4 linked regions of the Mus musculus genome follow. The protein of the gene in region 1 purifies or fractionates together with the protein of each later gene. This does not show direct contact. Links are inferred from orthologs where the notes say so. Each region holds a gene or a part of one and is shown on either strand. Other genes may lie near its edges. The genes, in order: Dnajb11, Sdf2l1, Sdf2 and Tuba1a.

Evidence for each region.
Region 2: the proteins of Dnajb11 (region 1) and Sdf2l1 purify together in Homo sapiens (affinity purification with mass spectrometry; 3 studies listed by BioGRID and IntAct, counting the BioPlex papers as one, with this or other methods). This does not show direct contact. The link is inferred for Mus musculus from reciprocal best matches to the Homo sapiens genes DNAJB11 and SDF2L1.
Region 3: the proteins of Dnajb11 (region 1) and Sdf2 purify together in Homo sapiens (affinity purification with mass spectrometry; 3 studies listed by BioGRID and IntAct, counting the BioPlex papers as one, with this or other methods). This does not show direct contact. The link is inferred for Mus musculus from reciprocal best matches to the Homo sapiens genes DNAJB11 and SDF2.
Region 4: the proteins of Dnajb11 (region 1) and Tuba1a purify together in Homo sapiens (affinity purification with mass spectrometry; 3 studies listed by BioGRID and IntAct, counting the BioPlex papers as one, with this or other methods). This does not show direct contact. The link is inferred for Mus musculus from reciprocal best matches to the Homo sapiens genes DNAJB11 and TUBA1A.

What each region holds. Positions count from the first base shown.
Region 1 is NC_000082.6:22,866,641-22,871,334, forward strand, and holds part of Dnajb11 (dnaJ homolog subfamily B member 11 precursor), read left to right. Parts: intron 1-279; coding exon 280-412; intron 413-2,070; coding exon 2,071-2,213; intron 2,214-2,480; coding exon 2,481-2,563; intron 2,564-2,775; coding exon 2,776-2,833; intron 2,834-3,930; coding exon 3,931-4,042; intron 4,043-4,299; coding exon 4,300-4,459; intron 4,460-4,694. UniProt on the Homo sapiens protein: As a co-chaperone for HSPA5 it is required for proper folding, trafficking or degradation of proteins.
Region 2 is NC_000082.6:17,128,143-17,134,298, reverse strand, and holds Sdf2l1 (stromal cell-derived factor 2-like protein 1 precursor), read left to right. Parts: upstream 1-1,915; 5' UTR 1,916-1,988; coding exon 1,989-2,175; intron 2,176-2,505; coding exon 2,506-2,702; intron 2,703-3,510; coding exon 3,511-3,792; 3' UTR 3,793-4,161; downstream 4,162-6,156.
Region 3 is NC_000077.6:78,251,113-78,256,746, reverse strand, and holds the end of Sdf2 (stromal cell-derived factor 2 isoform 1 precursor), read right to left. Parts: coding exon 5,535-5,634; intron 1,897-5,534; coding exon 1,609-1,896; 3' UTR 1,251-1,608; downstream 1-1,250.
Region 4 is NC_000081.6:98,950,061-98,956,303, forward strand, and holds the start of Tuba1a (tubulin alpha-1A chain), read right to left. Parts: upstream 3,442-6,243; 5' UTR 3,394-3,441; coding exon 3,391-3,393; intron 1,632-3,390; coding exon 1,409-1,631; intron 1,277-1,408; coding exon 1,128-1,276; intron 955-1,127; coding exon 1-954. UniProt on the Homo sapiens protein: Tubulin is the major constituent of microtubules, a cylinder consisting of laterally associated linear protofilaments composed of alpha- and beta-tubulin heterodimers.

The sequences.
Region 1 (4,694 bases):
TTGAGTCCAACATTGAATCCTTTGATATACTGTGCATTAGTGTCTGGCTGTTATGTATGGGACATATTGTATTAAACAGTAATTTGGGGGTGGGGCAGCAACCTGTAAATTAAATTATGTAAATTAAAATTTGTATTGTATTTGGACCCAGTATATTAAGAATATCTGTTTTGCATAGTGTGCTGGCAGGAACAATATTTTATCAAGGGGAAGAAAATCAACAGTTGTGAGACTTAGGATCCGAGTCCTTTCTCCTGATGAGTTTGCCTGTATCCACAGCTTCTTTGGAGACTTTGGCTTCATGTTTGGAGGAACCCCTCGTCAGCAGGACAGGAATATTCCAAGAGGAAGTGATATCATCGTAGATCTAGAAGTCACTCTGGAAGAAGTGTACGCAGGAAATTTTGTGGAAGTGAGTTCACACAGTACACCTACCCACACTGACCCACAGAACTCGTACTTTTGACCACAAAGCAGAGAGTTTCAAGTGCTTTGTGTCTTTTAGAGTATGAGAGGGAGTGGCTGACACATACATAGTTGAAATCATCAGAATCCTTACTTAGTTCATAGTAGTCACGAACTGAGCTCACTACCTAGCCTGAGAACTCAGTGAAACTCCCAAAGAGTCCTACACGTGAACATCGCTGTATGTACTCTAGTTACACGTGAGCGGGGATGTCTCCATCATGGATACGTGTGAAAGTAGAATTGCTGGGTTGGGTCCACACATTTATGCTTCACACAAAAGTGCCATAGTATGTTTGAAATTGTCCAAGTCAATAGTCAGCATGCCACGGCAGTTCATGTTTGCTCTGCCCCTGTCCATACGGAATAGTCCCTGTTCCCTCCTAGTTATTACGTGGGTATGGGATTACTGTGGTCTTGGTTTGTGCTTCTTAATTTCCAACTAGGCAAAACATCTCTTTCATTTGCCCTGTTTGTTTCTTCTTGTGACATGCCGTTTCACCATGTGCCCCGCTTTGTTGATTTCTGAGACTGCTTCATTTTTGCTCTTAAGTTTTTGTGAGCCGTAATGCAGATATAGTTATCCATTTATAATATAACTTATCTTTACACAGTATTTAAGATTTATTTTAATTAGTACAAGTGTTCATTTTAATGTGGAAAAAGTCTGATCTTTAATTGTTAATTTTAAAAGTCTGCTCTAACATGAGAAAGTTCTTCTGGGTTCTCCAGTAAAATTGGGCTTTCTTTTGCCTGAGGTTGTCTTTCTGTAACATTTGGAATGGGCTTTGCAGCTACTCTGCACGCTTTCAAACCCTGTTGTCTCACTTAACTAAATGCTGCTGGTTCCTCGCTGTGCATGAGAAGAGTGAGAGCTCCCTACAGAGCTGCGATCAGATGGCTGTGTGCACTTGTAAGGCATGCGAGCACTGCTCTGGGCGTTTTCTCCAGACGCTATGTCACTTCACTACATGAGCACATCGACATGAGATGTTATGTGTATCTTTATAGGTGTGTGTGCGCATGAGTGCAGGTGTTCAGGGCAGTGGATATAAGTAGTGGAACTCAATCCTCTACAAGAGCAAGATGTGCTCTTAACCATGATCTGTCCTGCCTTAAAGTACTTCTTTTGTTTTTTTTTTGGGGGGGGGGGATGAGGATAACATAGCCCAGGCTGGCCACAAATTCACCATGTACCCGAGGACATGACTATGAGTGTGTCTGAATGGTGACAGTGCTGGGGATTAGTCCTGGGCTAGGTTGCCTAAAACAGAAAGAGGTGGTCTGGGGAGATGGCTCACAGAACTGGGAGGTAGCCACACGGCAGCTTTTGAGTGCCATGGCTGTGCTCTGGGGGTGGTGCTTTAAACAACTCAGATTTCTCAACAACATAATAATCCTGTGAACTGCTTCAATTCAGAGGCCCTGGTGTGTCTTGGAAATGCTGGTATTAATACCTGGTTTTAGTCTCTTCTTCCCCTCTCTCCTTTCCTACAGATTCAGACTGAGATCAGAGTCATTTAAATATACACTTGCTTCCACCCTGTGTGAGGGTTGATTTGTACCCCAGAGAGGAAAACTAAAGGCTGTTTCATGTGTTCTTAGGTAGTTAGAAACAAGCCTGTGGCCAGGCAGGCTCCTGGCAAACGGAAATGCAACTGTCGGCAAGAGATGAGAACCACACAGCTGGGACCGGGACGCTTCCAAATGACCCAGGAAGTGGTTTGTGACGAGTGCCCTAATGTCAAGTAAGTGACAGGCCCTCAGTGTGTGTCTTGTTGACACATGTGACAGATATTTGTTTCCCTCCAGCTCTGACCTCAAGCACAAACCTGTATGTCTATGTGATGCAGAGTCACTCTCCTCTGAGTGTTAGCATCTGGATGCTCTACTCAGGCCCAGATAGCCTTGGCAAACAGCACAGTGGGCTATCCAAGAAGAGGCTCCCCAGGAGCTCAGAGGTGGAGCTGATTTATCTGGGCTCCCATTACTATTCTCTTCCCCTTTTGTCTCAGATTAGTGAATGAAGAACGAACACTAGAAGTGGAAATAGAGCCTGGGGTGCGAGATGGCATGGAGTACCCCTTTATTGGAGAAGGTGAGATGCTGGTGTTGACTATCAGAGCTCACTTCTGCCTTATCCATAACCTAACGGCTACATGGTATGTGGGGGGAGTGAAGGCATTGCCTTCCCAGACAGATATGACAGAGACATCGCCTGAGGCAGTGGATTTAAAAGTCACTAGAAGTGACACCAAATACACGTTCAGCTTGTGTAACTTCTGTTCTTCTTTGGACTGTCCTGACCAGGTGAGCCGCATGTGGATGGGGAACCCGGAGACTTACGGTTCCGAATCAAAGTTGTCAAGTAAGTGCCAGCGGGGAGAGGACTCCCAGCGATTGCAGTGGTAGGGAGTCCTCACTTTGTCTTCTGTTTTATGCCTACAATACCGTAGTCATTGTTTCTAACTCTGCAATAGTACTGAAAATAGGAGGTGATGCGCTGGCCCTGAGCCCCAGTTATTTACTTAGGACTTATAAATTCAAAAGCTGCTGGAAGGAAAGACAGGTAAGAATCTAAGAGAGAGCTGAGGGCTGGTCGAGCACTGTCCACATGCACATTGCCCAGTGTGGGCCCTGCTGGCTGCCACGCCTGCTGTGCCTTCCAGGTGGCTCAGACAGATCCGTAGTTCAAGGTCATCTAGCTTGGGATTCGTTATATCTTATCTCACAAACAAACAAACAAACAAACAAACCACCAGAAGTGAAAAGAGCTGTGAATGAGAGGCAGTCTGCAATAGGAATAAGGCATGCTGCCCTTGTTTCCCACAACAAGACCATTCGGTCATATTAATCCTCAGCCTCGCCTTTCATAGGCTTCCTCCAGTGCGGAGTGCTGCTTACACCCAGTACTCGGCCTTTCCAACTGACTATTCTCTTATTAACTGGTTGGAAACCAGTAAGAGGTCTGTGTTTAGGCTTCACTGAAACATTCATTGTTCCCACCAGATGATAGAGAACTGGCTCCTCTTCCCAGGCTTCCCCTCCGGCACCCTGATTGGGTGATCTTTTCTTGCATGCCTTGTCTCCCTCAGAGCTTCCCTGAGGAACTAGAACAGTTGTGTTCCCTCAGTAAGCCTGGTACCTTAGGTCAGGTGGGGGTAGGGAGTTAAGAGGTTGGAGCTCACTTTGTAGCCCAAGCTGGCCTTGAAGTCAGTGGTCTCACCTTATCTGTAACTTGGGAAATCACAGAAAACCGAGCTAAGCATGGCCTTTCTTTTCTATAACCTAATGATCAATGCTTTTTCCTTACATTTGTGTACTTGTGCTAATTGTAAGGTACTTAGCAATTGAGTTCAGTAAGACTGACACAGCTCTGTAATCTCAGAAATGCCATGTGTGCGTCTGTCTCCAGGATTTCTCTAGCACTATAAACCCTGATGGATTTTACCTTTTCCTTCTCAGGCACCGGATATTTGAGAGGAGAGGGGATGACCTGTACACAAATGTGACCGTCTCACTGGTTGAGGCTCTGGTTGGCTTTGAGATGGACATAACTCACCTGGATGGTCACAAGGTAAACACCCTCTCTTCCGGCTTTGTAGCCATGTGCTCTTGGGTTATCAGAGCCAGAGGCCATCTCTCACTGTCCTCTCTGCTGCTGAGCCTCCAGCTGTATTTTAAGTCTCTCTGTGCCTGTCAACCCTTGCCCTTCAACCTGCCTTTTCTGCTGAGCTGTGACACTACTAGCATTGTCCCCAGTGCCCAGTAGAAGTTGTGTGATGGACTTAGTGTGTGCCTGTCCTGCTCCACTGTGCTCCTTTTGCTTTCCAGGTCCATATTTCCCGGGACAAGATCACCAGGCCAGGAGCCAAGCTGTGGAAGAAAGGGGAAGGGCTGCCCAACTTTGATAACAATAACATCAAGGGCTCTTTGATAATCACTTTTGATGTGGACTTTCCAAAAGAACAGCTGACAGAGGAAGCAAAAGAAGGTACAGGGGTGGGTGTGTTTGTGTGTGTAGGGGGGTGTGTGTGTGCACGTGTGCATGGTATGGGATGACTGTCTGAAAGGAAACTAGCAAAACCCTTTAGAGCTGGGAGACATGGCTGCAGGCCTTCTGCAAAGCAAAGAAGCCCCGCTGTCGCTGTGCTCACTTGAGGGCTCTGTGAGCTGGGCTGTGAATCGAGTCGCTTAGGTGAAGAAGCCAGGCCAAACTGAAGGGAAGA
Region 2 (6,156 bases), about 5.7 Mb from region 1:
ACCTACGTTAGCAAGCCAAGTCTATCACTGTCCATCGAGTCCTTTTTATTCTCTCTGTAAACATTATGTGTCCTCCATGGGTCTTGCCTCAGCACATGAGTCTGTCTTAGCAAAACTCCATGTGAGTCTGTCTCAGCTGACATCACTCTGTCAATTGGCAGAGTCTGTAGAAGTGGCAAGAAGCGAGACATACCACCACCAGAAGTTTTTTGGTGCACTTTTCTCTATGGAGTCCTGACAAATGGAGCTCAACTACGAAATGTAAGATGGACCAATATATGTGTGTCATTAGCAGAGAATCCATTATCATATGTCCTTTCATGTGTTTGTTTAAGCAAAACATCCTTTTATCTGAATGTTCCTTCATGAGTCTGTCTTAGCTTTTCATCTATGTCCACTTCAGCAAAACGTTCCTTCACATGTTTGCTCCAACAAAACATCAACCCAATGCAACTGACACATAGAGTCCTTAAGTCTCCACTTCAAGGGCTGGAGAGATGGCTCACTGGTTAAGAGCACTGTCTTCCAGAGTTCCTGAGTTCAGTTCCCAGCAACTACATGGTGGCTCACAACCATCTGTAATGGGATCCAATGCCCTCTTCTAGTGTGTCTGAAGACAGCTACAACTCATATACATAAAAAAAAAAAAACTGTTTTAAAAAGTTTCTGTGAGAGAGAGAGAGAGAGAGAGAGAGAGAGACGGAAACAAATATAAAATGTCATGAGGTGAGGCCCCATAAAAGTTAAAAGAATTTTTGGTTCCCCCATTTTGGCTCTGGAGTGTAAGCAGAGATATTTTGTGTGAGGCTGTGGTCCTTTGTGAAAGGCAGTTCTGGCTGAGCCTTTTGTAAATTATTCTTGTTAGACATTCATGCACGAGATCCCCTCCTTCTCAGCCTCATATTCATGTGTGTGTTAGGGTTAAAGGCCTGACAAATGACTCTATTTTGATTCTAACTATTCTGACACAGCTTACTTAGAAACATGTTGTCTGCCTGTCATCCTCTCTAGGCGGATGACCTCAGACTTATTCTTGAACTTCCTGCCTCCACTACTTGAGGGTTGATTTGCTAAGGATCAAATCCAGGGTTTTGCGCTTGCTGGACTCACTCAACTGAGCTACATCTGCAGACGGAAACATAAACTTTAATGCAAACATAAACTTTACTGCGTATCTAGCTAGTGCCCTAAGTACATGCTTCATCAGCTTCTTAGTAATGTAGCCTGGAGGGGCAGTTCCTTTGTGAATACTCAACAGATGGATGGATGGATAGAGTGAATGTGTGTACGTGAGCGCGCGCGCCAGCACTGTGTGAGTGTGTGTGTGTGTGTGTGTGTGAGAGAGAGAGAGAGAGAGGGCTCACAGCTTTGTCATCCAGCAACCTTAGGATTCTGCCACCAAATGACTCAAGTAGCTGCATGACTAAGAGAATTAAAAAACCATGGGGTCCAGAAACTGATGTGATTCAGTTTGATTAACTCCTGGGGCCAGGAGATTTCAATAACTTTGTTATCTGCCCACTTTGAGACCACAAAATCTCGTAATTAACATAAGAACCTGTAGCTTTATCCCGGGGTCTGAGTGGAGGGACACGAGACTAAAGTTTAGGGGGTCCAGGGTCAAAGGGGTTCCTATACCTACTACACCCGAGGATCTCTAACCGGGAGCCAAGTGACTAGAAGCAACCAACCCGGGTGTGCGGCTTTCCGTGGCCTCTCCGGGGACGCTCGCCGCAGCCACTGCTTTATTGGCGGGTCCTCGGAAGCGTGGACCAGTTAAAATCCTCCTGGTGTCTCCAACCCCTTTCCAGCTACCTCCTTGGAAGCTGGGGGTGGGGCCGCTGCACACGGTCCAATAGCAGTGCAGGAGGAACGCGCGCGCGCAGACGATTGGCTGCCGTGGGAGGGCGCTGTCAGAGCTGGATTGGCCGCTGTTGAGGACGGAAGCGCAGAGGTCTAGAGCAGCTGGAACCTGGCCGGCTGGCGGGATGTGGGGCGCGAGCCGGGGCAGGGTAGCGGGGCCAACGCTGCTGGGGCTGCTGCTGGCGCTCTCAGTGCGGAGTGGGGGCGCGTCCAAGGCCAGCGCCGGGCTAGTGACCTGCGGGTCAGTGCTGAAGCTGCTCAACACCCACCACAAAGTGCGGCTGCACTCACACGACATCAAATACGGATCTGGTGCGCAGGGGTGGTGACTGGGACCGCCAGGGGGCGGAGGGCTTAGAGACTAGGTGGTCCTAGCGGGGTCTGTGGGTTGTCAGGGAGCTGGGTGGTTGCGAGTCTAGACTCGCTTGTGGGTCGTGACTGACAAGCCTGAGGGATCGAGGATGCGCGGGAAGGGGGAGGGCGATGTCCACCGGTACTTAGGGTCTGGCCTGGGCTGGGGTGAGCTCTTTGGATCCTAGAGTGGTAGGGGCTGTGAGGGAAACTTTTTAGTGTTCAAGACGAGGGTCCGGAGGTCTGTGATTAACAAGAATCCACGGGGTGGGGTGGGCTGTTACTCTTCAGGCAGCGGCCAACAGTCGGTAACCGGCGTGGAGGAGTCCGACGATGCCAATAGTTACTGGCGGATTCGCGGCGGCTCCGAGGGTGGGTGCCCGCGCGGACTCCCAGTGCGCTGTGGGCAAGCAGTGCGGCTCACGCACGTGCTCACCGGCAAGAACCTGCACACGCACCACTTCCCGTCGCCGCTATCCAACAACCAGGCAAGCCCCGTTCCGAAACCCACAGAGGCTGCGTGGGGCAGGGACCCAAAGACAGAGGGAGGGATGTAGGGGAGGGGCCCAAGAGGGGACTCAGTGTCAGCTACTGTGAATTGGGAGTTTCTATTCAGAAGTTTATGGAGCTCCTGCTCTGGGTCCTGTCCCCAGTAACTTTCTCCACCGAGTTAGAAGTGAGAGATTAGTTCGTATTTGGACACAGAGGTGGACCCACAGCGCAGATAATAGGAAACTGCAGGAAGGAGAAACTCAGGGCTGGGTCTTAAAGAGAAGTGGGAGCTTCTTCCTACTCCTTCCCCTCTGCGAAAGAGTTCCTACTAAAGTACAGTGTTCATTGCAGCTGGTCTGGGAGGGACGCAGGGAGAATCTGACAGTGCTTTGGAGAGTTTCAGGGGGAAAATGTTGGAGGGGAATTTGGGGGTAAGGCCAGTTGGCACTACACAGTCTGATACAAGAGGCTCTATGCACCTGAAGAATGGGGTGAGAGTCTATTTTGAGACCAGATTTCTCTATGTAGCCCTGGCTGTCCTAGAACACACTATGTAGACCAGGCTGGCCTTAAACCCCCCAGAGATCTGCCTGCCTATACCTTCTGAGTGCTACGCTTAAAGGCGTGTGCCGCTGAGCCTAGCTAGGGCAGGACTCTTGGCTTCCATTTTCATAGCTGTGAATGCTGAAGGTCAGGAAAAGGAGCAGAGGCCCCAGGATACTAGGTGCAAATATGACGGCCAGACATGCAGCTCAGGGGAGCTTGTGCCCTCTGTGTGACTGTTCCTATACCTTATACTCTCAGGAGGTGAGTGCTTTTGGGGAAGACGGTGAGGGTGATGACCTGGACCTGTGGACAGTCCGATGTTCTGGGCAACACTGGGAGCGAGAGGCCAGTGTCCGCTTCCAGCACGTGGGCACCTCTGTGTTCCTGTCGGTCACTGGTGAACAGTATGGTAACCCCATCCGTGGGCAGCATGAGGTTCATGGCATGCCTAGTGCCAATGCTCACAACACGTGGAAGGCAATGGAAGGAATCTTCATCAAGCCTGGAGCAGATCTCTCCACGGGTCACGATGAACTCTGAGAACCAGATGAGTGATGGGAGGGTGGCTGAGTGGCAATCTCGGGGTCACTCTTGTGTAAGACTTTGTTTGTAGGGGCCCTCAAGTGCCTTTATGATTAAAGAATGTTGGTCTGGGATTATTTTTGCTGTAACCCTGGGGAAGATCTGAAGGTGCCAGCCATATCTGTCCAAGTTACCATCTCACCTGTCTCAAGCACCTGCTGAAATTTTTTTTTTTTTTTTTTTTTGAGACTGTCTCACTATGTATCCTTGGCAGGCCTGGAACTCACAGAGAGATCCACCTGCCTCTGTCTCCTGAGTGCTGGTATTAAAGGTGTACACCACCACAACTGGCCCCAACCTGTTCAATAAACTCATTTTTATTACTAAGTGTGAGTGCATGAGATGTGTTTGTTGCCACCTGTACCTCAGAGCAGCTCTCTCTAGTCGCTTCTCATCTTCCACCTTTATGTTGGTTCCAGAGATCACTCTCAGTTTGCCAGCTTCACACAGTACACATAGCCATCTCACTGTCCCAAACCTTTTCTGGATGCCTGTCTGTGCAGTTTAACTCTGCAGTCTACCATACAGTGTCGTCAGAGCCGCCGACCTCATTTCCCAGGACTTGACCTTAGGCAATTTCTCTATTGAAGGGCCTTGGCCGTAGGCAGGGCCCCTGCCAACTGGGATGGGCTCAAACTCTCCAGTCCTCTCATCTCTTACTCTCAGGAACCCATTCTTCTGGTGGTTGCAGCAGTTTTGAAACTTATCTTTGACTAAAGGTCTGTTGAGGATTCTGCCTATCTATTGGGAATTAACACCTCAGGCTCCCAGACTTTTGATGGCAATGGCACACTCCCCCTTACTCTGACCTGCCCATGGTGCAGGCCCCCACTAGGACATCCAAGGCCCTAAAGAAAGAAGAGAACTAGGGAAGATGACTTGCTAGTTGGGAGCACAGCCTGCACTTTCAGAGGACTAGTAACTATGTCATGTCAGGTGGTTCACAACTTGTAACTCCAGTTCTGGGAGGGATCTCTCAGACCTCTTATTCCTGCACACATGCGCACAAACCTACAGGGACACCTGTAATTTTTTTTTCCATTTTTTATTAGGTATTTAGCTCATTTACATTTCCAATGCTATACCAAAACTCCCCCATACCCACCCACCCCCACTCCCCTACCCACCCACTCCCCCTTTTTGGCCCTGGCATTCCCCTGTACTGGGCCATATAAAGTTTGTAAGTCCAATGGGCCTCTCTTTGTAGTGATGGCTGACTAGGCCATCTTTTGATACATATGCAGCTAGAGTCAAGAGCTCCGGGGTACTGCTTAGTTCATATTGTTGTTCCACCTATAGGGTTGCAGTTCCCTTTAGTTCCTTGGGTGCTTTCTCTAGTTCCTCCATTGGGGGCCGTGTGACCCATCCAATAGCTGACTGTGAGCATCCACTTCAGTGTTTGCTAGGCCCTGGCATAGTCTCACAAGAGACAGCTATATCTGGGTCCTTTCAGCAAAATCTTGCTAGTGTATGCAATGGTGTCAGCATTTGGAAGCTGATCATGGGATGGATCTCTGGATATGGCAATCACTAGATGGTCCATCCTTTCGTCACACTTCCAAATTTTGTCTCTGTAACTCCTTCCATGGGTGTTTTGTTTCCTATTCTAAGAAGGGGCAAAGTGTCCACACTTTAGTCTTCGTTCTCTTGAGTTTAATGTGTTTAGCAAATTGTATCTTATATCTTGGGTATCCTAAGTTTCTGGGCTAATATCCACTTATCAGTGAGTACATATTGTGAGAGTTCCTTTGTGATTGGGTTACCTCACTCAGGATGATGCCCTCCAGGTCCATCCATTTGCCTAGGAATTTCATAAATTCATTCTTTTTAATAGCTGAGTAGTATTCCATTGTGTAAATGTACCACATTTTCTGTATCCATTCCTCTGTTGAGGGGCATCTGGGTTCTTTCCAGCTTCTGGCTATTATAAATAAGGCTGCTATGAATATAGTGGAGCATGTGTCCTTCTTACCTGTTGGGACATCTTCTGGATATATACCCAGGAGAGGTATTGCTGGATCCTCCGGTAGTACTATGTCCAATTTTCTGAGGAACCGCCAGACTGATTTCCAGAGTGGTTGTAGAAGCTTGCAATCCCACCAACAATGGAGGAACATTCCTCTTTCTCCACATCCTCGCCAGCATCTGCTGTCACCTGAATTTTTCATCTTAGCCATTCTGACTGGTGTGAGGTGGAATCTCAGGGTTGTTTTGATTTGCATTTCCCTGATGATTAAGGATGTTGAACATTTTTTCAGACACCTGTAATTTTAAAAGAGAAGGGCCTGGCGTTGTGGCGCACGCCTTTAAGCCCAGCACTGG
Region 3 (5,634 bases), on another chromosome or scaffold:
AAATGAGGTGGCAGAGGAAGGACAACAAAAATCTTTAAAAAGGAAGAAGCTTTTCTTTTCTTTTTTTTTTTTTTTTTTGTTTTTTGAGACAGGGTTTCTCTGTGTAGCCCTGGCTGTCCCGGCACTCACTCTGTAGACCAGGCTGGCCTCGAACTCAGAAATCCGCCTGCCTCTGCCTCCTGAGTGCTGGGATTAAAGGCATGCACCACCACGCCCAGCAGAAGCTGCCTTTTAAGAGCTAAACACACTGTGGTGCAGGTAAAAAGACCAAGGCAGGTACAGCTCCTATCCCAAAAAGTACCTACTGCTTTCCAGAATGCAGGTGGCTACTCAGGTTTTCTCTCCCACACTGTCAAAAGTGTATCTACCCTGTGAAGAGTCTATGATGTTTAAACGAAGGGTTGTCAGATGGTGCCTAGATTAGTAGTGAACTAATGTTGGTTTTGGTAACCCTAAGTCCTTTTCTCATCTACATAACAGATCCTCAGGAAGACATGACATCAGCTAGATATGATGATAAACTCTGTGAAAGTCTTCCTTACACATGGTCAAAATTTAATAAAGACGTGCTGGGGAAGGATTTGAAGGCACAGAGAGAAAAGGGTTATATGGAAATAAACCTCCTAAAAGGGCCAGCAGTGAAGATTCCTAGCACCTTGAAAGTCTTAGGGGGCCAGAGAGATGGTGGTTCAGTGGGTAGGAACACTGGCTGCTCTTCCCAGAGGTCCTGAGTTCAATTCTCAGCAACCACACGGTGGCTCACAACCATCTGTAATTCTAGTGAATCTGAAGACAGCTACAGTGTACTCATATAAATAAATAAATAAATCTTTAAAAAAAAAAAAAAGGGCTGGAGACTTGGCTCAGTGGTTAAGAGCACCGACTGCTCTTCCAAAGGTCCTGAGTTCAAATCCCAGAAACCACATGGTGGCTCACAACCATCCATAATGAGATCTGATGCCCTCTTCTGGTGCATCTGAAGACAGCTACAGTGTACTTACATATAATAATAAATAAATCTTTAAAAAAAAAAAGTCGCCAGGCAGTGGTGGCACTTGGGAGGTAGAGGCAGGCGGATTTCTGAGTTCAAGGCCAGCCTGGGCTACAAAGTGAGTTCCAGGACAGCCAGGGCTATACAGAGAAAAAAACAAAACAAAAACAAAAACAAAAACAAAAACAAAAAAAGTCTTAGGACTTGTGAATTAAGCAGTCAGATCATGAAATAGCCTGCTTAATAAATGACCACACAATGAATAAAAGTCTTTTTATTTATTTATTTATTCATTATTTTGGAGAAAGACAAAACAGGAGAAATCACAAATTAAGAATCCATGATGCCCAGTTCCTGCGGAGTTACACTTCCCAGCTAAGACAGGCAAGCTCCTCAACTTCTTTTACCAGCATGAAGAAAGCTATCTCCACCTTCACAGACGAGTGAGTCCTTTCCCGAGAGAACTGACTAAGCCTGGGAGAGCAACCAATTCAAGTGTGAAGGGCTGCAGGTCCCAAGGCAGCACGCTCAGAGGACCTGGAGCAGGGATCCCGCAGTAAAGCAGCAGCAGATGTCTACAAACACTGTGTGGCGACAGTGGCTCAGAGTATTTAGAGTCACAGCTCTGCATGATGGACCTCTGCCCTCAGCAACTCACTGGGCTTCATGAAGATGCCTTCCATGGCCTTCCAGTAGTTGTTCTGACTTGGCTGGGCCATACCATGTACCTCTTTTTGTCCACTTATGGGTCGTCCGTACTGTTCTCCTGTGACAGACAGCAGTACGTCAGTGGAAGAATGTTTGAACCTCACCTCACCATCTCTAACCCAGTAAGGTCCATTACAGAGCACTGTCCAGTCATCCAGATAGTCGCCTTCACCTTCTTCGCCAAAGGCACTCACTTCCTAAAAGACACAAAATGGTAACATTAACACCTGGTGGTCAGGGCTGGGGAGATGGCTCAGCAGGTAAGAGCACTGACTGCTCTTCCAAAGGTCCTGAATTCAAATTCCAGCAACCACATGGTGACTCACAACCACTCATAATGAGATCTGACACCCTCTTCTGGTGCATCTGAAGTCAGCTACAGTGTACTTATGTATAATAATAAATAAATATTTGGGAAAAAAACAACAACAACATGTGGTGGTTAGGTCTGAAGAGTGGAGGAATGGAGCTGAGAATGGTGGAGCCCACCACAGCTGTAATATTAGGGAACTGGAGATAAGAGCATTAGGGAGGTCAAGATCAACTGGCTACATAGACAGTTTGAGGCTAGCCTAAGCTAGAAGAGACCCTGTCTCCAAATAATAAGGAGTCAGTGAGAAGAAAAATAAAACTGCCCAAGAGAAACAGGATTGGGACTTTCTAGTGTTAATGCACAAATATTTGTGCTGTTGTTGTTTTGAGACAGGGTTTTTTTGTGTAGACCAGGCTGTCCTGGAACTTGCACTGTAGATCAGACTGGACTCAGAGATCTGCCTGCCTTTGGCTCCTACGTGATGGAATTAAAGGCGTGTGCCACGATACCCAGCTTGTTGAACATTTTTTTCTGCATGAGATAAACTGTGAGGGAATAAAAAGACACAAAGGGCACAAGGAAGAATGAGCTGTCTCGCCGGGTGTGGTGGCCCACGCCTTTAATCCCAGCACTCCGGAGGCAGAGGCGGCGGATTTCTGAGTTCGAGGCCAGCCTGATCTACAAAGTGAGTTCCAGGACAGCCAGAGCTACACAGAGAAACCCTGTCTCAAAAACCAAAGAAAAAAAAAAAAAAAAAAAAAAGAATGAGCTGTCTCAGATTATGACCCAAGCACTGACATACTATGTCATATGTTTTTTTTAATTTATTTTTTTAATTTTTTAAAATTTATACATTGAAGATTTATAAAAAAAAAAAATCAGGCACTAGATGTTAAATAATAATTGACCATGAGGCTAGAGAGTTAGTTCAGTGGTTAAGAGCACTGACCGTTAAAGATTTATTAACCTGCTCCTGGAAATATGCCACTAGCCTTGGACGACAGCGCCCACTGAATACATACTTTTAGAATTGTTATATTTTGATGATTTATAATGATGTTACCTGTTCTGTTTGTGATGCACTGAATAAATAGTTTCAGAGTTGCAATGCTTGGATGATTTTTGTGCTATACTGTGCCAAATGATTTTTGTTGGTATGTGATTGTTTTACTGGATATAGTTTCTAAGAGATGTAATGTTTGGTTTTTTAATGTATAAAATCCTCTGCTTGAGAGCTGCAAAATACATTCATTCAAACTGCCTCTGTGTTCGTTTCTGTTTGTCACCGTCGAATCCTTACCCACCTAAGTTCGAGGACACTCATTCCAGGGACCCCAAAACCTGACTGGGGTGGTCCATGGCAGGAGTCCATGTGGGCTCAAGTGTTCTTTCTTTTAAGCAGGTGAGACTATGGTGTACACTACTGCATTTGGTCTTCTGAACAAACTCATCACTTATTTTAACTTCTGGGGAGAGGATAATACAACCATACACTTGTTTCCAGGGATCCGGCACCCTCACAGACACATACAGGCAAAATGCTAATGTGCCTAAAGTAAAAATAAAACAAAACCAAAAATGGAGAAGTGGCTCAGAGGTTAAGAGCACTTACTGTTCTTCCTGGTTCCTGAGTTCAATTCCCAGTAACTACAACCATCTGTAATAAGATCTTTTTTTTTTTTTAAATATTTTTTTTTTAAGATTTTTATTTATTATTGTATCTAAGTACACTGTAGCTGTCTTCAGATGCACCAGAAGAGGGCGTCAGATCTCATTATGGGTGGTTGTGAGCCACCATGTGGTTGCTGAGATTTGAACTCAGGACCTTTGGAAGAGCAGTCGGTGCTCTTAACCACTGAGCCATCTCTCCAGCCCCCTGTAATAGGATCTTATACATAAAATTAAAAAGTTTTTAAAAAGTTAAAAACAAAAACAAACAAACGAACAAAAAACCCCAAAACCAACTCAGAGCATATGCTGCCCTTCCAGAGGACCCAGGTCTGATAACCAGCAACCCACACAGCCATCACAACCATCGGTAGCCCCAGCTCCAGGGGATCTGACGCCCACTTCTGGCCTCCAAGGACAATGCACACACAACACAGTGCACAGCTATACGTCTAGGAAAACACTCAAACACATAAAGATAAAAAATAATTCTAGTCAGGCACGACGAGGTACACCTATACTTTCAAAATGTAACAGGCTGAGGCAGGAGGAACACCTTGAGCTCCTGGCTGACTGGAGCTGCATGGTGAGTCCAAGGCTAGTACAGCGAAGCCCTGCCTCAAATAAATAGATGCATGCACACACACCACAGTCAGGGGCTGGAGAGGTGGCTCAGTGGATAAGGGCTTCTTGAGCATTCATGAAGCCCTGGCTTTGGTCCCCAGCACAGCCCCAAACTAGGCATGGTGGCACATGCCTATAACCTTGGGAAGCTGGAAGGTACAGTCAGGAGCTTCAAGAGTCAGGGACCAGCTGAGCTATAGTGAATGGGAAGCCAGCCCTGGCTACATAAGACCTTGTCTTAAACAAACACAATCCAACCTGGCATGTGTCATATGTAGTGATCTACATCCAGAAAATTATTTTTGTTACTTCTTTATAACTGTAATTTTGCTATTGTTTTAAATTATAATGTAAAAATCTGTAGGTGACCCTGTAAAAGGGTTATTTGACAATTCCAGAGAGGTCATGACCCACAGGTTGAGAGTCACTGCTTTAGACCATCTGTGATTGACTACACAGTGACCCTGTCTCAAAAATAAAACAAAAACCAATAATTTTAATTTTTTGTTCTTATACATACAAGTATTTGCCTGCAAGTACGTTGCTGTATCACTAGAGTGCCTGGTGTCCAGGGAGACCAGAAGTGAGCGTCTGATCCCCCGGACCTGGAATAAACTGAGCTACCATGTGAGAACTGAGCCTGGATCCTTTAGAAGAGCCGCCAGTGCTCCTAACTGCTGAGCCATCTCTCCAGCCCTGTACTCTTTATTGTACCAACTTACTAGTTTTTTTTGTTTTTTTTTTTTGGTTTTGTTTGTTTGTTTTGTTTTGTTTTTTTCGAGACAGGGTTTCTCTGAATAGCCCTGGCTGTCCTGGAACTCACTTTGTAGACCAGGCTGGCTTCGAACTCAGAAATCCGCCTGCCTCTGCCTCCTGAGTGCGGGGATTCCAGGCGTGCGCCACCACGCCTGGCTTAACTTACTGGTATTTTAATGTATCCTATTTTGACTTCCCTCACTTTGGTTTAGATGACCTGAAACCATTTTCTTCACACTTAAGAAAGAGATAGAGTCATTTCTCCAAGTCTGCAGAAAAGAGAATGTCTTACCTAGAAAGGAAAGGGTTAATGTGCTCCTTATAGCAACGCATATACTAAAATTGGATAATCAAGGAGGACATACAAGTTTGTGAAGTGTCTCATATTTATAAAAGAAGGAAGGAAGGAGCGAGCTAAGCACCAAGAGGCCAGACAAGTAGCAAAGCAGGAACACCCACCGCCTGCCATCTCACCTGGTTTCCAGAGAGAGGTGAAGTGAAATGGTGGCTGTGCAGGTTTCGACCTGTGTTGATGTGTGTCAGACGGATGGGCTGCCCGCATTTGATGGGGGTT
Region 4 (6,243 bases), on another chromosome or scaffold:
CTCGCCTTCCACAGAATCCACACCAACCTCCTCATAATCCTTCTCTAGGGCAGCCATGTCCTCACGGGCCTCAGAGAACTCACCCTCCTCCATGCCCTCACCCACATACCAGTGCACAAAGGCACGCTTGGCATACATCAGATCAAACTTGTGATCTAGGCGAGCCCAGGCCTCAGCAATGGCTGTGGTGTTGCTCAGCATGCACACAGCTCTCTGCACCTTGGCCAGGTCACCACCGGGTACCACAGTGGGAGGCTGGTAGTTAATGCCAACCTTGAAGCCAGTGGGGCACCAGTCCACAAACTGGATGGTACGCTTGGTCTTGATGGTGGCAATGGCAGCATTGACATCTTTGGGAACCACATCACCACGGTACAGCAGGCAGCAAGCCATGTATTTACCATGGCGAGGGTCACATTTCACCATCTGGTTGGCTGGCTCAAAGCAGGCATTGGTGATCTCTGCTACAGAAAGCTGCTCGTGGTAGGCTTTCTCAGCAGAGATGACAGGGGCATAAGTGGCCAGAGGGAAGTGGATACGAGGGTAGGGTACCAGGTTGGTCTGGAATTCTGTCAGATCAACATTCAGGGCCCCATCAAATCTGAGGGAAGCAGTGATGGAAGACACAATTTGACCTATCAACCTGTTTAGGTTAGTGTAGGTTGGGCGCTCAATGTCGAGGTTTCTACGACAGATATCATAGATGGCCTCATTGTCTACCATGAAGGCACAATCAGAGTGCTCCAGGGTGGTGTGGGTGGTGAGGATGGAATTGTAGGGCTCAACCACAGCAGTGGAAACCTGGGGGGCTGGGTAAATGGAGAACTCCAGCTTGGACTTCTTTCCGTAATCCACAGAGAGCCGCTCCATCAGCAGGGAGGTGAAGCCAGAGCCAGTTCCCCCGCCAAAGCTGTGGAAAACCAAGAAGCCCTGGAGACCTGTGCACTGGTCAGCCTGTGGGAGAAAAGGAAATGTAATGTTTTATTAGGAGGGCATACTCTTAGCACTATTTGCAATTCCTTTAGATTGGGAGCCATATTTGCTTGATAGAAAAGACTTGACAGATTCTGACAGATACCAAGACACCCTCCCACTGCATTTTAAACCCATCCATATATGGCATTTACCAGCTTGCGAATCCTGTCCAGGACAAGGTCAATGATCTCCTTGCCAATGGTGTAGTGGCCACGAGCATAGTTATTGGCAGCATCCTCCTTGCCTGTGATGAGCTGCTCAGGGTGGAAGAGCTGGCGGTAGGTGCCGGTGCGAACTTCATCTGCAAAGGGAGAAGACGTCAGCCATCGGCCACCGAGGACACACACAAGCTCACTCACCCTTCTGGGTCTGGAGAGAGATTCTGAGTATGTGACCAAGAAGGAATGCCTGGGGAAGCCCCCAGCCAGCTTACCGATGACCGTGGGTTCCAGGTCTACGAACACTGCCCGGGGCACATGCTTGCCAGCTCCTGTCTCACTGAAGAAGGTGTTGAAGGAGTCATCTCCTCCCCCAATGGTCTTGTCACTTGGCATCTGGCCATCAGGCTGGATGCCATGTTCCAGGCAGTAGAGCTCCCAGCAGGCATTGCCGATCTGGACACCAGCCTGGCCAACATGGATGGAGATGCACTCACGCTGTGGAAAGAGGGAAAAAAATTATAAAATTAAGCTGTTATAATATTAAGCTGTATTTCTATTTTAGATCTTAATAGATTTCTAAAGTGTTTCTAAAAATAGAAATATTGTTGAAATTTATTTGGAGTCACATCCCTAATAACAGGAACAATGAGGAGTACTCACTACAAACACCAAAAGTGGGTGTGGCCTAGATGTCACCTTAATACTGCTTAAGACATGGTGCAAACCCATTGTTTCCAAAGCCTTGCTTGAATAGAACAGCTTTCATATTTGAAAAATATTTAAAGCATAGATTCTGTAAAACAAAATAATTATCCATAATAATACTAATTGCTTCTTTACCCGATAAGTAAGGATGAAGTTTTCATCCTATAGGACCTGGTATTTCATCATGGACATCTGCAGTGCGGCTGGGGCCAACAGCCACACCCTTCTGTGGACCCCATCAGTACTCTGGCTAGGCTACATAATAAAGAGTCTCACACTATAGGACCTTCTATTTCAACACTGACATCTGCAGTGCGGCTGAGGCCAGGAGCCACACCCTTCTGCAGACAGACCCCATCAGTACTTTGGCTAGTCGACAAGCTAGACAAAGTCTGATTTCTGCATTGCCACGTTCTCTGTGCCTGGTGCTAGCCTGTGCTGTTACATTATTTAACAGAGAAAGCTCTATTTCCAGCAGCTGTCTATGCGATCTCTTTGTGCTGCTTTCATGGTCCCTCCTAACCCTGGCTGGGGCCATTAGCCTGAATTAATGAATTAGTGCACATTTATTAGAACAAAAGATGGTTGGGTGCAGAGTATAATTTTTTTCTTTGCAGAAAATCCATTGTTTTTTGAAGGTTTTCCACTGTATGGAATGGAAATATTCTTAAAGCAGGCTAAGTTAGAAACAATGAGCGCCAACATTTTTTAAAAAAACAAGTGAAAAGATAGCTAAATTTAAAAGTAGAAAATAATATTTTTATCCTATGAATCTCTACATACCACTAATATTTCATTCTATAGAGATACACGTCTGTTGTGGAGGGACTACTTTCATTGTCTGCGGGGGTGGGGGGCGGGGAAGGGCGTTTCCCTGGGTTCTGACCATCAGCGTACTCTAGGATTCACAAAGTGGGCTTTGTCATTCCCCAACCATCCAGCTCCCCTCCCCCCTCAGCGAGATGTCCCCGTTAAGCAAATCGTATTTTTGACAGCCCTGCAGACGAAACATCCCATGACTACAGTTCCACAACGATTTTTTTTAAAGTAAAAATAAAAATAATTAAAAAAAAAAAAACCGCTCGGAAGAGGCTTAGTGAGAACCAACCCCTCCCAAAACGCCACGGAAGCAAGAGACAAACAACCCCGCCCCTGCGCCTCCCTGACAGCGGCTGCCATGGATCCGACGCAAACTAAACATTTTCCTAGCGAAGTGGGGCGGTGTTTCTGGAGTTCGGGCTCGGCCGCCGCCCCTGCCCTCCTACAGCAGCGGACCCTCGATCCCCCACCCGTCCCCGGCGGTCCCCGTGGTCCCCTGCAGTCCCTGGCTCTGCCAGCGCTAGCTCATCGGCGCTGCCTTTGTTCTTCCCGGTCTGGGCGTTTCCGTGTCCCGCACTGCGGCGGCGGGACTCAAAGACTAAGATAAACTTAAAGCATGGAGACCACCCTTTCCCCGCAGAGGTGACCAAAGCCTTAGACGTTTCCTTGCAGATCTGGGGCGACTGACACCCACCCTCTATCTACCGAGAGCCGGGGAAGGCTTGCTCACCATGGTTGCTGCTTCGCGGCTGCCGGGTGGATGGCGGAGGCGAGGAGGAGGTGTTGCTTCTTACAGCGCGACTCTTAGGCGGTCGATGTAAGAGAACCTGCGGCACTTGGGCGGATGCGGCTCCTTATATACAGCTCTGTCACCATGGGGATGGGCCAGGGCCTTTTCCTGTTGGTCCAGACCCCTCTGTCTGCCCAGAGAAGCCGCGACAGGAGAGTGGTGATTGGTGCAAGCGACATGGTATGAGGTAATCTCTCCCCCACCCCTTCCCCCTAGCATCCGTAGACTTTGCATCCTTCAGACAAAGGCCGTGCAAAGGCAGCTAGCCGAGCATCCATTATGGGGTGGAGTTGGGGAGGGGTGGAAAGGGAAGAAAGAAAACTGGGGTTGGATGATTATACGTAGTTTAAACCTTAAACTGTATTTAAAAATCATCTAAGGTTTTTCCCAACACTTAATCACAGAATTTATGTTTAGAATCTTTTTGGAAAATTCCAGCTTTTCATTTTTAATATACTGAATTTAATTACGTTCTGTCAGAATTCAACATCTCTATTTGCTTTAAAAAGTAGCAGAAGATACGGGGGTGGTCAAAAAGGCGTGGCTGAATGTTTAGTTTCATAGTTATTGTATTATTGTTATTCTTTATTATTATTTGAGCAAAAGTCAGTACGAGTAGACCACGCCTGTGACCTCAACAGCACCTGGGAGTCAGAGGCAGGAAGACTTGCAGCTCAAGGTCATCTTAACTGGCCTTAGTGGTTTATTCCTGTGTATCCCAGCACTGGGAAGCCGGGGATTGCAGCTAATTTGTGCCCACCCTGGATATATAGTGTGATATCCTGTCTCAAAAACCAAAAGAAAAAGAAAGAAAGAAAGAAAGAAAGAAAGAAAGAAAGAAAGAAGAGAAGAGAGAAATAATATACAAAGTAGTACTTAATACTAGAGAGCTTTCTTTCTTTAGCTGTAATTCTCTCCCATCACCCCTCCGTGCCCGCCCCCCTACCCCACCCTACCTCACCCCAGAGCCTGTGTTATTTTGTCCCTAGAAATGAGCCATCCTTTCTAATATGGAATTCAGAAACTGTAAGGAGAAAGAATTGAGTTTAAAAACTAGCTCTTTGTGTGGGCTTGTATTTCTCCAGTCTTTTTTTTTTTTTTGGAGGGGGAGGGGTGATATCAAGTAAAAAATAACTGAGATGCCAAATTAAAAAGAGGAGCGTTTTATAATATAAAAGGAAACCATTTTGTGATGTTTTCATCCCCAGACAACTGTGCAGTGCCAGCCCTGCTGCAGTTTTATGTAGTTCCCTGAATTCTGTAAATAGCCCCTTCCGCAGCTGGGCTTCTGACTGTGGGAACTGTAGCTGCTCTCCCCAAGGCTGCTCAGCCAGAGACTGTGGTCCTTGCTCAATTGCCCCTTGGGACAAAAATGCCTTGCTTTCACTCCTAGGAAATAGATTACAGTGGCACTCTCTTGCTATGTAGAAAGGCTCCGTTGTCAGCAAGGAAGATCTCTATATAGTGAGTCTCCGAGCTGCGGACCACTGATAATTTGCAGGATGAAATTTTAGAGGAAAAGAGATATTTGTTTGGGCACCGAGCTAAAAATGTGGATTTTGACAGATGGCTTCCCTTTCAGTAGCAGAGTCTTGGTCGCCCGCAGCTCTGTTTGCGAGCCCTGTGGAGTCCATTCATTCCGGCTGGGCTCCCAAGGCGCAGGGCGCTGGTGTGGGAGGGAGAGCCTTGGGAACACAGCAGCTGCAGGTTGTGAGCTAACAATGGTGGCCATGAGTTCTTCTAGCCTGAGGTCCACAGCTCTGCCTTTCTTGTTTAAATTTATCGTAAAAGTCTTTTCTAAAGAAAAACAAAACAAAACAAATCAATATAACCCACAAACAAAGAATTGTCTACTTCTTGCATATTTCCTAGGAAAAACAACCCCCTCATCTTCATTATTTTATAGCAGAGGGAAGAGAGATGACTTGACTACCTCTAACATGTAAGTATATCAGCAAGAACAAGAACTAAATGGTGTCAGCGCTCTCTCAGAGAAGGCCACACCCATGTGCTCCGATATTGTTCTGATCACTTCTCTCTTAACTCTTATGTTTAGAATTGATAGTAATGAATAAATCCCAACTGTGCTTCATTAAAAAAAAAAAAAATTAAACAGCGGAGAGAACATAAGGATTGACAAATAGCTTGTTGAAAAGATCGTCACAATTAAAAACTATTTCATTTGTGCATGTATTGTGCAGGTGTGCATGTGTATTTGAGGGTGTGTGTGTGTGTGTGTGTGTGTGTGTGTGTGTATGTGTGTGTGTGTTTGTCTTTGGAGGCCAGAGGACAACTACAGGAGCAGATTCTCTTCTTTCACCGTGGGAGTTCCAGGGACAAACCTCACCTTCTCAGCCGTGGTAGCAAGTGCCTTTACCAGCTAAGCCTCCCCTCCTTCCATCAAATAATAATAATAATAATAATAATAATAAAGCATACACTACAGAGCCACGATGAAGTATAACACAATTTTTTTTCAAGTATGGCGATTCATTTCTATTTCTTGATAATACAAAAAGATGAGAAATGTCTTCTGTTCTTTTGTTTTACAGGGGATTAAAAGGAGGATTCTTTGTCACACCACTCAGAGCCATTCTGTCCCTTATGCAAATGAGAGGCTTTTTTTTCTCACCCCTTGAGCATAAATAACTTAAGATCTAGGTCAGAAATAGACTATTCGCTTAAACACCGAAATCCTACATATATGAATAGAGACCAGTAGGGGGATGTTAGTCCGTTCTTTTTGTCCCTTACCTGATTTAATAGAATACAAACTATGGGGGGAACAAAACC